2 linked regions of the Arabidopsis thaliana genome follow. The protein of the gene in region 2 interacts with the protein of the main gene of each other region in a biochemical or structural test. Each region holds a gene or a part of one and is shown on either strand. Other genes may lie near its edges.

Region 1 (8,653 bases), 6.5 Mb from region 2:
AAACCCATCTCTGTTTTCATCAAAGACATCAAAAGCTTGCTTCACTTCCTCTAAGCTTGGCTCTTTCTCTTCGAACAGATTCGAAACCTCCTTGGAACTGTACTGTTTTTGAAGTCCCTCGTTTTCTTGGTCAGTGGAAAGCCCTAAGCTTTTCATAACCATCCCTACATCTTCTCTGCAAAGACCATCATCATCATCATCACGATATTCTTCGTGTTTGATCGAAGTTTGGAACTCAAGATCTTTGCTCTTCTTCTCGGAAACACATTGCTGGTGTTGAACAAGAGGCCAGAACCTAGAGAAAAATAACTGAGCAAAAGAAACCCATCTGAAAAAACCGATGAGGAAGAAGTTGATCAGACCAAACAAAGGGAAAGACAAAGAAGAAGACTGTTTGCATTTAGACAATGAACTCTTCATGGTTATAAAGCTATATAATTGGTTTTCAGTCATAACTTTTGTTAGAAGTCTATTTGAAAAGTAAAACTAGGCAAAATAATGAATCACAAGGAAAAGAATGTTTTGGAGGAGATGTTGGAGATATGAGTTTGTTTTTATGGTTGTGTATATATAGATGATGAATAAGTCAATGTGGACACAATTTTGGTGGCGAGGCAAAAGAGAGGAAGTTGCAGTTGGAAGAAGAGACCAAGAAGGATAGGGAAAGGAGAAACTTACAAAAAGACTTGGTGTAAGATAATAAATAAAGAATTAAGAGGAAATTTCTTCTGCACCTTTGATGGGGAATTGTTTTTTGTACTTTTTTGGAAAGAAGTTGGTCATATTAATATTAAATTGTATTATACACCTATGTATATATTACAATTAAGGTTTTGATTGGTGACCCCTTACATTGTTAAGAAAACTAAGGAAATGTTAAAATATGTATGTGTGTCTTAGATATCATACATGATACGGTCGGGGATACTCCTTCATTGTCAAAATATAAGATGTTAACTAGATTTTAACCCGCGGTATACCGCGGAACAATTTATTTTTTAAAGTTAGTATACATAAAAGTTTGCAAAATGTATTATTTATTTTTAAATTAATGTTGATCTTATTTATGATATGTTTATGAATTATTGTCTAAATATATTGTAATTTTGTAGTAATTAAATGTTATCAAATATCTCTGCGGTTTGATGATTATAATCGAATTGTTATAGTCATGGAGAAAAGCAATATTAAAAATGATAATTTTGTAGTAATTAAATGATATTAAATATTTTGGAAGTTTTATTTTAGTAACTAATTGTGTAGTTAATGTGGAGAGATTTAGGGAAGGTTGTTAAATGTCAAATATTTAATTCGAAGATTTTTTTTCTAATTATCAAAAACAAACATTAAAATTCAGTGGCAGCCATTGTAAATTATTTCCAACTACAAGATTTATTTCATAAAATGGCTGCAAAAATGTATATGTAGGTATAAGATGTTTTGACTAAAAACACGTAAATTAAGAAATATTTAAATTTTTAAAAATTTACCAATTATAAAAAAAACTGCACAATACAAATGATTATAAAATATTAATATATAATTTTCGTAGAAAGTTGAATACATCTTATAATATAAATTGGAAAAAAATCTCCAAAATATATATAGAAGGAGTATCTTTTTGGTTTTATAGGTTTTTTAGAGGTTTTATTTGTTTTCTAAACCAAATCGACATATTTTTGGTCATGGTTTGAATTGTTGTATTGTGTGGTTCAGTTCATTCTTACTAGTCTTGACAAATTTTGATACAAATTTCATATGAATACTTACTTTACTTTATGTAAAATATTCAGACGAAATTTCGTATAAATTTTGCAAGAGTAAGGCAGCGAGACAAACAAGTAGACTAAGAAAAACATAAAAAGCAAAGGAAAATTTCTTATAGCTAATTTCCACAATTAAGTAATCGTTTTCTCACCATAATCCGTGACTTGTTTGACCAAACGTAAGAAATCAATTAAACGATGACTAATTCAATAGTACTCTTATTGTTCTAGTCATGAAAAAGACTAACACGAATTTAATGTCACAATTGCAACTAATTTCCTTACTAAATTTCCTGGAAATTGCAACTGAACAAACAAGGTAGTGGCTTTCTTTTTCTTTTGGCGTTTTTCACAAACTTCTTCTATATTAATTTACTACTTATCTCTTAATATAGTATCAAAATGTTCTTTCATTGGTTGTTTTGGTCAATAGACGATAAATCTTCTGATATAGCTGACTTTGTCAATCCATTTAGTGTGGTTTCTTTAATATTTTTAATCCTAGATTATACAAATATCGAACCGTAGTTGGCAGCTTGCAATATCTTCTCTTCATGCATCTACCACATTGCTTTTGCTTATGTATGTTGTCAATAGACTCTCCATTCATGCATCAACCATGACCATTTGCTTGCAGTGAAGAAGCTGTGTTTGCGTTATTTTCGCAGTATTGGTGATCGCGGCTTGCTTTTTCGAGACTTGGTTCATGTCTTTGTTGGGTGATTTTTGGACTGGTTATAAGAATGACTACACATCTACTAAAGCAAACCTGATTTACCATGGTAAACACTTGACATCGCGGTCATCTAAGAAGTTGAAGACAGTGGTTCGCTCCTCCGCGGATGCCGAAAACAAGCTTGTTGCTGCCACTACTACTGAAGTCCAATAAGTTAGATCACTCTCAAGATTCTGAGAATCATACATCATGTGGATAACTATAAACGTTCCTTTAAACTTGTTTGAATTTGTCTGTGAACATACAATGTCATGATAGGGAAAATAAGTTATTCATGCAAGATACATTTATTTAACTACAGTTTTGAGGTTTTTTCATTTATGATACAACAAACTTTCACTCTGCAATCCAAAAACTACTTATCCCTCACTATGTCAACCATTATATATATATACACAAACATGTGTGTGTATATATAGCTATATGTACAAAAGGACTCACCTGCTTTCTTGGAACACAAGACTGAACCCAAAAACAATCAAATCAGCTGCTTAGATTCTTCTTCTTTCTATGAGCTCTCATGGAAGTTTGCTGACCTAGAAAGAGCAGCAGGATTCGCTTGCAACTCCGGTCTTCTTCCCGGAAGTCTTCCTTCAGAAAGACTGCTTTTTTCTTTGGTTGATGATCTGAAAGCTCCGAAAGTATCCGCATTTTCGTCTTTTTTGATCCCTAATGTTTCCCAGATGGAACTTTTAGCAGCTTCCTCTGGATCATCAATCCTCAGCGTCTTGGGAACCCACAAGCATCTCTCGGGTTTGCTTTTCTCCCTACCAAGTGACTCGGTTTCATCAAAAGCGGTTCCTGGTTCAGCAGCGTTCTCGTCACGTGAATGTTTACCTAGTGTAGGAGAATTTGGATTGGAACCAGATGGTGAATTGGGTTGTGGCATCCATGTGAAGCTGTTCCATGCCCCCGGTGAAACCCCCGGGCAGCTCCAGTAAGCCGGTGGAGGGTAAAACGGTAAAATCGTCCACGAAACTCCGTTCCAAGCGTAAGGCCAAGTTGGTGGTGGTCCTGGAAAGCATGGAACTTTTGGTAACGGGCTGACTGTTCCAGCTTCTTCGTTTGTCTGGTTTAACGGAACCGTAATCTTCAAGCCTTCATTGGGTTCTTGCAATACAGTTTGTGTCTTCAACAATGACTTCTCAACAAGATTCAATCCAGAAGCCATAGATTCACAAAGCACAGAATCAGAGCCAAAAGTGAGAAGATTTGCACCATTAGGATGTTGAAGATCAGTTCTCGCCACCTTCTGCATAGCTTCCGCAGATGTTATACTTACATGACGGTTATAATGAGAAGCTGGACTCTTATTCTTACGTCTCCCAGCACCAACCGGAACATTCCTCATCGTTCCACCAGCTGTCCAATATCTCTGACATTTCTTGCAGAAATGGCGAGGTTGGTTAACATTATAGTTGTTGTAGTAACAGAACTTGGTTTCCATGCTGTTACATCGCGGACACGGTAGAATCTTATCAGGTTTCTTTAACTTCCCCTCTTGAGAGCAAGCAGTACCACCTGACTCTTCATTCGTCTTTGCAGCTTTTGTTGTTTCCGTTTTTTCAGTTATACCCGATGTAGTAGTAGTAACATCATTAGATTCATTCCTCAATGACTCTTCCTGACACTCACTATCTTTTTCTTCCTGAAGAATAACATAAGAACCAGAGTCAGATCGTTGTTATGTATCCTAATCAAACAAACAACAAACAGAAGCTAGAAGCTACAGGGATCAAAGACTTGATTCCAATCACAGAGAAGCTAAAACCCTGAAAAGTTCTTAAGCAAATCAATATCAAAACCTATAACCATCAATCAAAACCAAATGGAACTAATTAAGATCTCAAATCACTTTATAACAAAAGGAAAAAAAAAAACTCATTTGAGAATCCAGATTTACAATTTTCGAATCCCCAAAAGCTCTGAAAACCTAGTTCTTACATAAACAAACCAAAAATCATAACTTTATCAATAAAACTAAGATTTGACCAATCTAACATAAACCCATCAATCATTTCCATTTAACAAATCAAAATCAATTCACAAGTTCCAAAAAAAACTAACCTTTTTATCAGTCTCGCTCTCTCCTCCACCATCACCAACATCATCACCTTCTTCTCGTCCTAAACCGGAATCACCCATCTCTTCATCATCATCATCGCCGGTACACGAATCTGATAACCGAACAGGAATCTGAGTTTCGGTTAAAAATCCGGTATAGCTAGAAGAAGAATCAACAACACCAAGCTCAGGTAAAGGAATCGTCTTTCCAAAGAGCTTAATCGCCGGATCAGCCATGGTAATGATTCCTTTTCACTTCTTTCTTTCTTTCTTCTCCAGCGAGCAAAAAGCGGAAACTTTTTGAGAAGACAGAGGAAAAAAGTTCCAATTTTTATTTGTTTAAAAGAGAGAGAGAAACGACTGTCTTGTTATCGGTGGTTGTCTGAGTTTTGATTTCTAGATTTGTTAATTGGGAATGCTTTTTTGTCTTTGCGAGAGAGAAAGAAAAAAGATTTACAGATTTTGCTTTTTGGGTTTGTGATCTTTCGAATTGTACAACCTTTTGATTCGCCCAGAGTGCCACGTCATCACACGTGAGGATTCTTAGCCACAAGTTTATTTTTGTTTTTGTGGACTTTTTTTTTTCTCTTTTTCGTCTCTTTTTGGCTTTCTTTTTATTTTCCTTTTCAATCTGGTCAGTGGTCAGCACTTTTTTTTACTTTTACTTTTCTTTTCATTTTTAACTTTTTTATTTTAAAAGTCTGAATTTTTTTAAATTAATGTAAAAATGGTTGATTAAAGGCCATTTAACTTCTAATTTACATGTTTTCTAATTCTAACTATGTCAATAAATTTTTTGTTACCCACACATTTATTAAAAAATTACTGTTTATAAATGAAATTTCAGAAGAAAAAACAAACTTTAGAGTAACAAACAAAAAACATATTTAAAACCTTGAAACACTTTTTAATTCCTAGCTTTCTATAATAGCCATATCCATGGAAAACAATATCATGATTAGATTTGGAGAGAAAGAAAAAAAAAACATATTTATGAAAGAAACAAATTACATGATATAAACATTAATTTTCTCATTTTTAAAGAACTAAGAAGATCCAACAAAAAATTAAAATACTAAAAAAATATAGTATTTTATCCCCAAAAAAACCAATCTTTGTCTTCAAACAAATCCATTTTACAGATTGATACTCCTTGTGTTCTTTTTTCTTTGATTTTTTAGGAAAAACACAAATATTAAGAAAACATATTAAATGTTGCTTTTAAATGTATTATTCTTTGTAATTTATAATTTTCAATAACTCTAAACCAATGATATTCAATAATTCTTATTGAAGTTTACAATTTATCAATTATAACTAAATAAATATTGCATTGAAAACCAAAAAATCAATCTTTTTGAAACAATTTTTTTCTAGAAAATCAAAAAAAAAAAACAAAAGGAGTATGTGTTTTTTTACGCTGATAATAATAGTCATTTAGTTACAGTTTTAGCTTGGTACTTGTAGGAAAAATAAATTAACATTGAAATCACTTTCTTTTTTTTAAATGAAGCTACAAGTATTTACTATATAGTGGATCTTCAGTTTCTTTCCTCTTTTTTGCCTATATTCTTGTCATAAAATCTTCAACATATCAGAGATACGTGGCTGTAATAAGTCGATGTTAGAAGTTGTGGTTACTAATGAACGCCAAGTCGATTTGGAAAAAGTGCAATATTGTGGATAAGAAGTAATTGAACGCCAAGTCTAACATTGAAAAAGTGCAATTATGTGGATAAGTATATAGTACCTTTATTTCAGACCACCCCAAATCACAAATATATACTATATAATAAAGTTTTTTCATTACATTTATTATATTATCCCCACTTGGAGGCACGACTGATAAAGATTCTTAGGAAACATATTTTATCATTTTTCGACTGTTTCCCCGAACTAAAGAAACGTTATTTGAGTTTTGTTTTATTAAAATTAGCATTTTTCGTATAAAAACAAGTCTCGTTGATATATCACATGACTTGAACATTCTCGAATTAGAACTTGAATGAACTATATTGTAAAAAAAAAAAAAAAAAAGAACTTGAATGAACTATATTGTAAAAAAAAAAAAAAAAAGAACTTGAATGAACTATATTGTAAAAAAAAAAAAAAAAGAACTTGAATGAACTATATTGTAAAAGCTGGCTAAGTTCATTAAGTGACTCTTGGTGAAAACGGAGAATTTTTGCTTAATGAAAACATGGTGATCAAATTTCGAATATTACAATACAAGATTGATTCGAATAAATTTTCATATCGTTACTAGGAAAAACAAAACTCCATTTCATTATTGCTAATTGGGTAGACTTTTTATCTTCGTATTTATAGAAAATTTGTAGATCAAGTTATGTGTTTATGTAGATAATTTTACTGGCTAATCAATAAAATTAAGAATTTTCTTTTCATACTGATGAATTTTCTGACATGATATCAAAGCATAACCATATAAATACTAGTATTTTGGTTTGTTCGATCCCTCACATATTTGAAATTTCTTCTTCTTCTCTTTTTTCTTCTTTCTTCCAATCTTATATTTTGTCACTTTTCTTCTTGTTAGTCTTTGATAACGCTGGTTCTTTGTAGAATTGCGGGATATGAACAAGGGACCTTCTCGTCTTCTTGACTATGTTGATATCTTTGAAAGAGTGCCGAAACAAGGAACGTGTTATGAAAAAAAATCACTTTTTAATCCTATCAATTCATCAGAAACTGAAGACAATGAACACTTATACAACTCAGGGGTTGATAAGCTCAAATCTAAAGAACTCATAATCTAATCTAAATAAAATAGATACAAAACACAACGTGGAGATTAAGACTTTGGGCCAACATGACATGCCTACACAACAAAAAGGACAAAGCCCACGCGGACTCTTTTTTTTTTTTTTGGCCTCCACTACATCACGGACTCAATTGGTAATTAATTGCATAGTTTGAGATCTTAACAAAAAAAGTACTGCATTGAGGAAGCTTTTACTAACGTCATAATGTACTCCTCCTATCAAACAAGTCTAGATAGAATCAACACAACATTTTATTTAACAATACAATAGATAAAAATAGTAGAACATTGGAGTTTAAATCAGATAATCTAAATTACAAGGAAAATACGAAATAGATACTAAAACAAACCAAAAAACAGAAAAGTGAAAATAAATTAACCAGTCATGCAACCAACACCATATCGAGTGGTCGGAAAAACAAGAAACAAAGCACTACAAACAATTCCAACCATTATTGGAAAACTCTCCATAACTTGATCCATCTCTTTCTCTTTCCCTGGAAACAAACATCCCGTGACTCTTCGATCCGAAAACGCAATCGCCATAAACACCAAAACGCTCATCACTGCATGAACAAAGTCATTAACCGTCAACTTATACCTATCATCAGTCACCGGAATCTCTGCCTCCGCTATAACATCTCCGCCACCAAACTCTGGAGGCGGCGGTTTCATGAACACCGCGAGTCCACGTGGCGTCACGAAACCGTAGTAGATCTTCCCATCGGATGCTTTGAAACTGTCGGTAAAATGGAAGAAGAAACAAGACATTGCGCAAAGAAGCAAGAGGAGATGAATCATGAGTGTGTTGATTCCGTTACAGTCTCCGTCACGGTATATTGATGGAAGAACCATTTCGAACATCAAGAGTGTTCCTGTCGGAAGGAAGTTGACGAGCATTGATGTCTTCGAAACCGTTTTTTGAACTCCTTGCGCCACCATGCGACGTTTTCGACCTCTTCCTCCTCCAGCGGCGGCTCCTGACGGGAGGGAAGGCAATGAAGAGATTAAGACGGGTTTTGGTGAACGAGAAGGTGGTGATGGTGATGGTTTTTGCGGCGGAGTCGCCGTGTAAACTCTGATTCCGACGCTTTCCTCTGTTTTCTCCATTTTCGTGTGTTTCTCTCTGTTTTTTTCTTTTGTGATTTACCAGTTTTTCGTATGTTGTGTTAAATGGTTTAATGGAGAATGAGATTTTTGTATTTATTTTTCAAATCGCGGCGGTTATTGACGGTTATAGAGTTTCATCGGACGACGGTTTATGTGGGAAAGGTTTTAGAATTCTTGCTCTCTCTGATAACAAGC
Region 2 (6,873 bases):
AATCACTGTCTCCACCAATACACACCCTCACACATACAAGAGTAGTAATGTTTTGTTTGCTACAATTATGAGTCAAAACATAATTCACAATTCTCAGATAACTTTTGTTTGCTTCAAATTTAAGCCAATTAAAAGTCACGCTTACACAATAATCACTACCTCATAGACAAGCTAACCAGAATAGAAATTGGGAATAACGCAGACAAACTCAAAACCCTAGAATTGAAGCAATCAGAAGCTATAAAGATCCTAATCACACTCAAAACTTTAACCAGACAACGAATCGTTACACAATGCAAGAAATAGAAGTCGAGAGAGTGAGTGAGAAATAGAAAACCTGTCCCTTGACTTTGAGATTGATGTGAGCTCCTTGGTCAGGCTTCTTGTCTTCTTCCGGAGTAGCAGACATCTTACTTTATTATCAGATTATACGGTCGGCGATTGGAAACAAGAACTTCGATCTGCGATATAAGCGAAGCCCTAAGAGAGATTCGCGGGATTGCAGAACTTGAGGGTTTGAGGGAGAGAGAGAGACTCGGCAGAGAATAAAAAAGACTGAAACCACTATCTTTGGTCGCATCGGATTCTTGTTTATCTAACGGTTCATAATCATTGATCTATATCATTCGACGGCTGTGAGTGAGTATAATCTCTAACTTAAAATGATGTCGTTTTAGCATTCTTAATGGGCTCAAATGGGCTGGTTACTTCTGTGTCTACCCAAGAATTTTAAAATGTGAAAATCTCAGCTTTCGAGTAGATTTGTTTGAGTTGGGAAAAGTGAAGATGTTCAAAGTGAACCGTTTGATTTTGATCAAACCAGTAAAGATTTCAATTGTTTAATATGGTTTTGTTGTGTGACCTTTTACAATTAGCCAACTTGAGTTTTAGAGGTTTTGATGAGTTGTTTATTCACGGTTGTAAAATTAACAAAGTACAAAGATTCTAAAAATCCGTAACCAGATACCATTAATATCATAATTCATAAGATCCAATCACTCATGAGTCATTTACACACACGATAACCGACCATGATTTAAACTTCAAGTAATTTTGCTTGAAGAAAGTAGTCAAATATCACAAAGCCAGCCAAATTATTCCTAATTAAAGCCCATTATGATCGAAAAGCATATAAGACCACTGACGCTGATTTGCTCGTAGACCACCACTCATCGCCCGGCACGCATCTATCACATCTCCATCTTCCATATCAAGCTTTAAAATTGGAGAATCTTGGTTTAGTAAATGATACACTTTTGACAAACATATAAATTGTAAAAGGGAAATGAAAAAGAGAGTGATTTGCCTCATCTGGAGTCTCCAGGCCACCTATACGAGCTCCATTAAAAATGAAAGCGAATGCGTCTAATTTCAAACCTCGGCGGTCGCAGTAAACATACATGAGCTTTTTAAGTGGAGCGCTTTTTTTGTTCTTAAATAAGACTTCGTCTCCATCCTTAGTATCACCAATCAAGAAAAAAGATTTTAATCACTCTATACTTTAGATCATCACAGTTTGGAAAAGAGTATCATCAAAGTTTTCATATCAAGAAACTGTATATATAGTATTATCAACCAAGCAGCAACGACAGAAAATTTCAAGGAGATTAAAGAGGGAACACAGTGAAAAAACCTGGCTCTTGACCTTGAGAATGACATGAGCTTCTTGTTCTTGGTCGATGGGCTTGTCATCTTGAGGGTTAGACATCTTTCCTTTTATCAGATTTTATGAAACAAAAACTCCAGTCTGTGAGAAATACGAAGGCCTGATAGAGAGATTCACAATACAGTATTGCAAAATAAGGGGTTGACTTTTGAGAAAGAGAGACTTGTCAAAAAAGTGACTGAAACCAGTTCTTGATCGCACTCACTTTTGATCTACAGATTCTTGTGGTGATATATCGAACGGCTCATAATCATTGTAGCTTATCATCCGACGGCTAGGAGAGCGTGGAATTCGTACATGAAAACACTGCCGTTTAATCAAGCATTCGTAATGGGCTATTGGGCTGGTTTAAGATCAAATATGCTCATATGTGGGCTTAATTACTTCTACACAGTATATAAAGTTGGAACCCATTTTCGTGAACCGACCAAATAGTTTTTAGAAAATTTATAAATCATATTTAAAAATAAAATCTAATTACCACGGTAATCTAATAATTTCAAAAAAAATACAACAGTTAGAAACTTTTAAAAATCTTAGCAAACATAACTTTTGTGGTATTTTAAAAAGAAACTCAAAATTATGATATTATTTGACAAAGTTTAGGGCAAGCTCTCTTTATAAAATTTATATATTTCTTGATGTTCTAAACTTCTAATGCATGCATGGTTATTATTTAATATTAAAAAATAATGTACGTCGACCGTCATAGTGTGTAAATGGTTAGTCTATGTTTCGTGACGACTTCTATTTCGGCCCGACATAATATATTTCCAGTTTTTAATTTGATAAACTAATAGGCATTGTATCGTAACGTAAAGATCAGGGACAATGCTAACATTCCTATCTAAAACTCAATTTGTTGGACAGCATCCAAGTGACCTACCACATTGAATTCTTTCTCTTGGTTGATAAGAAACTAATAATGATGATGTTATATTTATACGAATATATTAGTTAACGTTTATATTTAGAAATTCGTCATAAACTCATAATAGTTACAAATAAGTCAATCTGAAGGTGACACACCTCTCTGGATATTATAATGTTTTCAATTTTCATATGGACTTGTCATTGTGTTTCATTTTCAATTTCATGTACCGACTTAAGACTTAAGGGCCTTGTCGAAACATACCGTACGATGTCGACAACCTCCATAGATACATTATTAAATTATTGTTACTTTCATAATCCAAAAATTAAATTGTTATACTAAAGTATATGTAAACCAGCATACATTGATACATATAAGATTACCACCTAGTGGACAAGTTGATACACAAACAAAAACATGTATATAATCATCAAATACAATATTACCAAATGATGATGTCTATTATTTTCTCTTTTGATAGTGGAGTTATTATGATGTCTACTCTTAATTAGTTTCATTATTCAGGTCTCAATCACCGAAGATAAAACTATATTTCAAACTGTAGTAGTAATTACCGTATGTGTATTAACATTCTATGCCTATATGTACATAACCGTTAATATTCGGCCACAATTATTAAATTCAAATAAATCTAAAAAGCATCTTTCACCAAGTAATTAGTAAAACTAGCCGTAAATGTCATCCAAAATTCTTGGTTTTACATCAGAAGGAAACATTAATTGCTTAGCGATAGAGTTCTATTTGTATAGGACAACTAAACTCTACAAATATCGTTTTTTGTTTATCCATGGACGGAGATGGACCATTTAGATTAATTCATTATTATACTACTGGAAAATAATTTGAGGTGTTTGCTTAGCTTAGCTAACCTTAAAATGTTCATTTTTCCTCCGCACATCTAAACGCGTTCATTAGCCCAATTTGCTAAGTCAAAATATTAGTTACAACCAACTTGTGAATCAGTCAATGTTACTATCAAATATTTCATATAAATCTATACTTGGATTTACAAATTTATCGAAACATATCTAAACACAATTATTAACATAATAACTCCAACCATTCAAAATAATAATAAAAAGGACGGAATATTTAGGACGTACGAAAAAGAGACGTTGGAAATCAGAGAGCTCAACGTTCAAAATTTGGTACATGTATAGAACAATGAATGACACATGGCCCCATTGTAGATTCTTCATTTCTCGACGAGACCCAGTTACCATTAATTTACATAATAATTCTAATTCCGACCAATCAATGCATCACATTATCGATTAATAATTATCACTCCTCCGACCAGTTTTTTTCACCTATTAATCCTAACTTTAACGGATAATTAGCAGCTGTTTTCAACCAGTGATTAATAGGTATTTATTACCAGCTGATACTACATGTTTTATTTGCCTCAGTGCCCAAATCCCAATAATTATGGAACGTATTAAAAGTGTTGTTGCAAATGCAATTGTATGTCTAAACAAATTCGTTTTGTTATACAATTCATTTTATGCAGAACATAACGTTAATAAAATCCCCCAAAAAAGGAAAAAAGCTGCAGTAAAATCGACCCTAATTAATTAAAAGTGAATGCTAATTTTGGCACGTACCCCCACAATCTCTGACAACATTTGGTACAACAATCTCCAATCAGTACACGACTGAAACGGTCAAATCCACAATTAAAATAATATTTACTTTAGACACGTCATCGAGTTGAAATATTTACATCACAAAACCGTACAGTTAAAAAAAACAAAGTCATCCCCAATATCTCACGTGGGTCCTACCCACTACATCCACCTCCCTCGTTCTCCTTCTTCTTCGTCTCTCTATATAAACACCATCTTTAGCTTCTCCTTCACCGGAATACAAAAACTGAAACCTTTCTCTATTTATCTCTCTATACACAACAATGGCGGTCTTCGTTTTATCTCTACTCATACTCTCTTCCTTCTCAGCCATTCCATTCACTTATGCAGGTTAGTTCTCATTTTCATCATCTCTCCACAGAGTTTAGTTTGTTTGGATTCTGATGTCTTTGTTTGTTTTTGTCTTCTTATCAGATTCTGGAATGATCGGAGTTAACTACGGCCGTATAGCAGACAATCTTCCGGCACCGGAGAAAGTAGTTGAGCTACTGAAAACACAAGGAATCAACCGCATCAAGCTTTACGACACCGAGACAACTGTACTAACCGCACTCGCGAACTCCGGAATCAAAGTCGTTGTCTCTCTCCCCAACGAAAACCTCGCTTCCGCCGCCGCAGATCAGAGCTACACCGACACTTGGGTTCAGGACAACATAAAGAAGTACATTCCAGCGACGGATATCGAAGCAATCGCCGTTGGGAACGAAGTGTTCGTCGATCCGAGGAACACGACGACGTATCTCGTTCCAGCTATGAAGAATGTTCAAAGCTCTCTCGTCAAGTTCAATCTCGACAAATCCATTAAGATCTCGTCGCCGATTGCTTTAAGCGCGTTGGCGAGTTCGTATCCACCGTCGGCTGGTTCGTTTAAACCGGAGTTAATCGAACCGGTTATTAAACCGATGCTTGATCTCCTCCGCAAAACGTCGTCGCATCTTATGGTGAATGCTTATCCTTTCTTTGCTTACGCAGCTAACGCCGATAAGATCTCGTTGGATTACGCGTTGTTTAAGGAGAACGCCGGGAATGTTGATTCCGGTAACGGTTTGAAGTATAACAGTCTCTTAGACGCTCAGATCGACGCCGTTTTCGCCGCAATGTCCGCCGTTGGATTTAACGACGTTAAGCTTGTGGTGACAGAGACAGGCTGGCCTTCTGCCGGAGACGAGAACGAGATTGGTGCTGGTTCGGCTAACGCGGCGGCGTATAACGGCGGGTTAGTTAAAAGAGTGTTGACGGGAAACGGAACGCCGTTAAAACCGAAGGAGCCACTAAACGTTTATCTGTTCGCTCTGTTTAACGAGAATCAGAAAACGGGTCCGACTTCTGAGAGAAACTACGGGTTGTTTTACCCAAACGAGAACAAAGTGTATGACGTTTCGCTCAACGGTAAGTCAACGCCGGTCAACGATAACAAAGAGAAGGTTGTTCCGGTGAAACCGTCGCTCGTGGGACAGACGTGGTGTGTGGCGAATGGTAAAACGACGAAGGAGAAGCTTCAGGAAGGTCTCGACTACGCTTGTGGCGAAGGAGGTGCTGATTGCCGTCCGATTCAACCGGGTGCCACGTGTTATAATCCTGAATCGTTAGAAGCTCACGCTTCCTACGCGTTCAACAGTTACTATCAGAAGAACGCACGTGGAGTTGGCACGTGTAATTTTGGTGGTGCAGCGTACGTGGTCTCGCAACCTCCTAGTAAGTACCCTATCTTTCCTCTCCAAAATTTTATTTTGATTAGTAAGTATTTTGCATATACAGTATAGTTATTTTCACGTTCTTAATAGTTGGAAGATGGTTAGATAATAATTATGGGAGTTGGGATGGTTTAACAACAAATGTTATTTTTTTGGGCTTCACTTACGTATACAGATTTATAATTAAATTGTGACGTATAGACGGAAACGTAAACTAAATTAATTATTTTTTGTTGGTTATGTGTTTGTAGAGTATGGGAAATGCGAGTTTCCAACAGGGCATTGAAATGGATATAGAGAAGAAGAGGATCGTGCGGATTTATTTACGTTATTTATTTTGATACATTGTTCTTTTGTCATTCGAGTATATGATTTGCGTATATTTATTTTTATTATTGTATATTTGGTTGGTTTCATCGGATAAATAGTCAGATTTTCTTTCCCCCTTAAGCCTTAACTTCTTTGCTCGTGAGTTTATAAAACTGACAAAACTTTGTTGATATAAACCATTATATCCTGCAACTGATCCAATAAACAACATTGCAATATTATTTTCAAAATCTCAAATTGATTCGTTTTGCTGGTGATCAACTGATCATGATCCAAGCAAAACTCAACAGTATATATTGTCCATATTGTTTCATTCCAATACTCCAGAGTCAAAACCTTGAGCTGCCTACTTCATCAAACTTGATTAGCGCCTACCATCAATTGAGCTACGACTACACTACCAACTCCCATATAGAAGCCTGTAACTCGAAAAATGGGTTTTGAGTTATAGTTTGTCACAAAGCTCTGTGAATACATTATACTACATGAAAACTCATCAAGTCTTTTGATATGGAATCTTCAGAACCAAGAATAGCTTTAATGCTTTTATAGTTGTGAAGTCTGTTATTATTCTATTACTGAATGTGTATTCTCCTCCAGAAATATCTAAGATCTTAGATGAGTCAGTTTAGACGTTTTAAA

The links. Proteins that work in one complex are often made in the same cells at the same time.
Region 1: of the proteins of SUMO3 (region 2) and CDF2, one has a biochemical effect on the other in vitro, tested with the Arabidopsis thaliana proteins (one study listed by BioGRID).

The regions. Positions count from the first base shown.
Region 1 is NC_003076.8:15,875,070-15,883,722, reverse strand, and holds CDF2 (cycling DOF factor 2), read right to left. Parts: upstream 4,998-8,653; 5' UTR 4,804-4,997; coding exon 4,570-4,803; intron 4,151-4,569; coding exon 3,011-4,150; 3' UTR 2,944-3,010; exon of another isoform or gene 2,642-2,943; 3' UTR 2,186-2,641; downstream 1-2,185. Other genes in the region: AT5G39670 (Calcium-binding EF-hand family protein), read right to left, coding at 1-453; DAU2 (transmembrane protein, putative (DUF679)), read right to left, coding at 7,724-8,458. UniProt on the Arabidopsis thaliana protein: Transcription factor that binds specifically to a 5'-AA[AG]G-3' consensus core sequence. Regulates a photoperiodic flowering response. Transcriptional repressor of 'CONSTANS' expression.
Region 2 is NC_003076.8:22,384,364-22,391,236, forward strand, and holds SUMO3 (small ubiquitin-like modifier 3), read right to left. Parts: upstream 1,843-6,873; 5' UTR 1,709-1,842; coding exon 1,634-1,708; intron 1,457-1,633; coding exon 1,307-1,456; coding exon of another isoform or gene 1,216-1,306; coding exon 1,105-1,215; 3' UTR 894-1,104; downstream 1-893. Other genes in the region: SUMO2 (small ubiquitin-like modifier 2), read right to left, coding at 338-409; AT5G55180 (O-Glycosyl hydrolases family 17 protein), read left to right, coding at 4,471-4,537, 4,622-5,906, 6,153-6,198. UniProt on the Arabidopsis thaliana protein: Ubiquitin-like protein which can be covalently attached to target lysines as a monomer. Does not seem to be involved in protein degradation and may function as an antagonist of ubiquitin in the degradation process.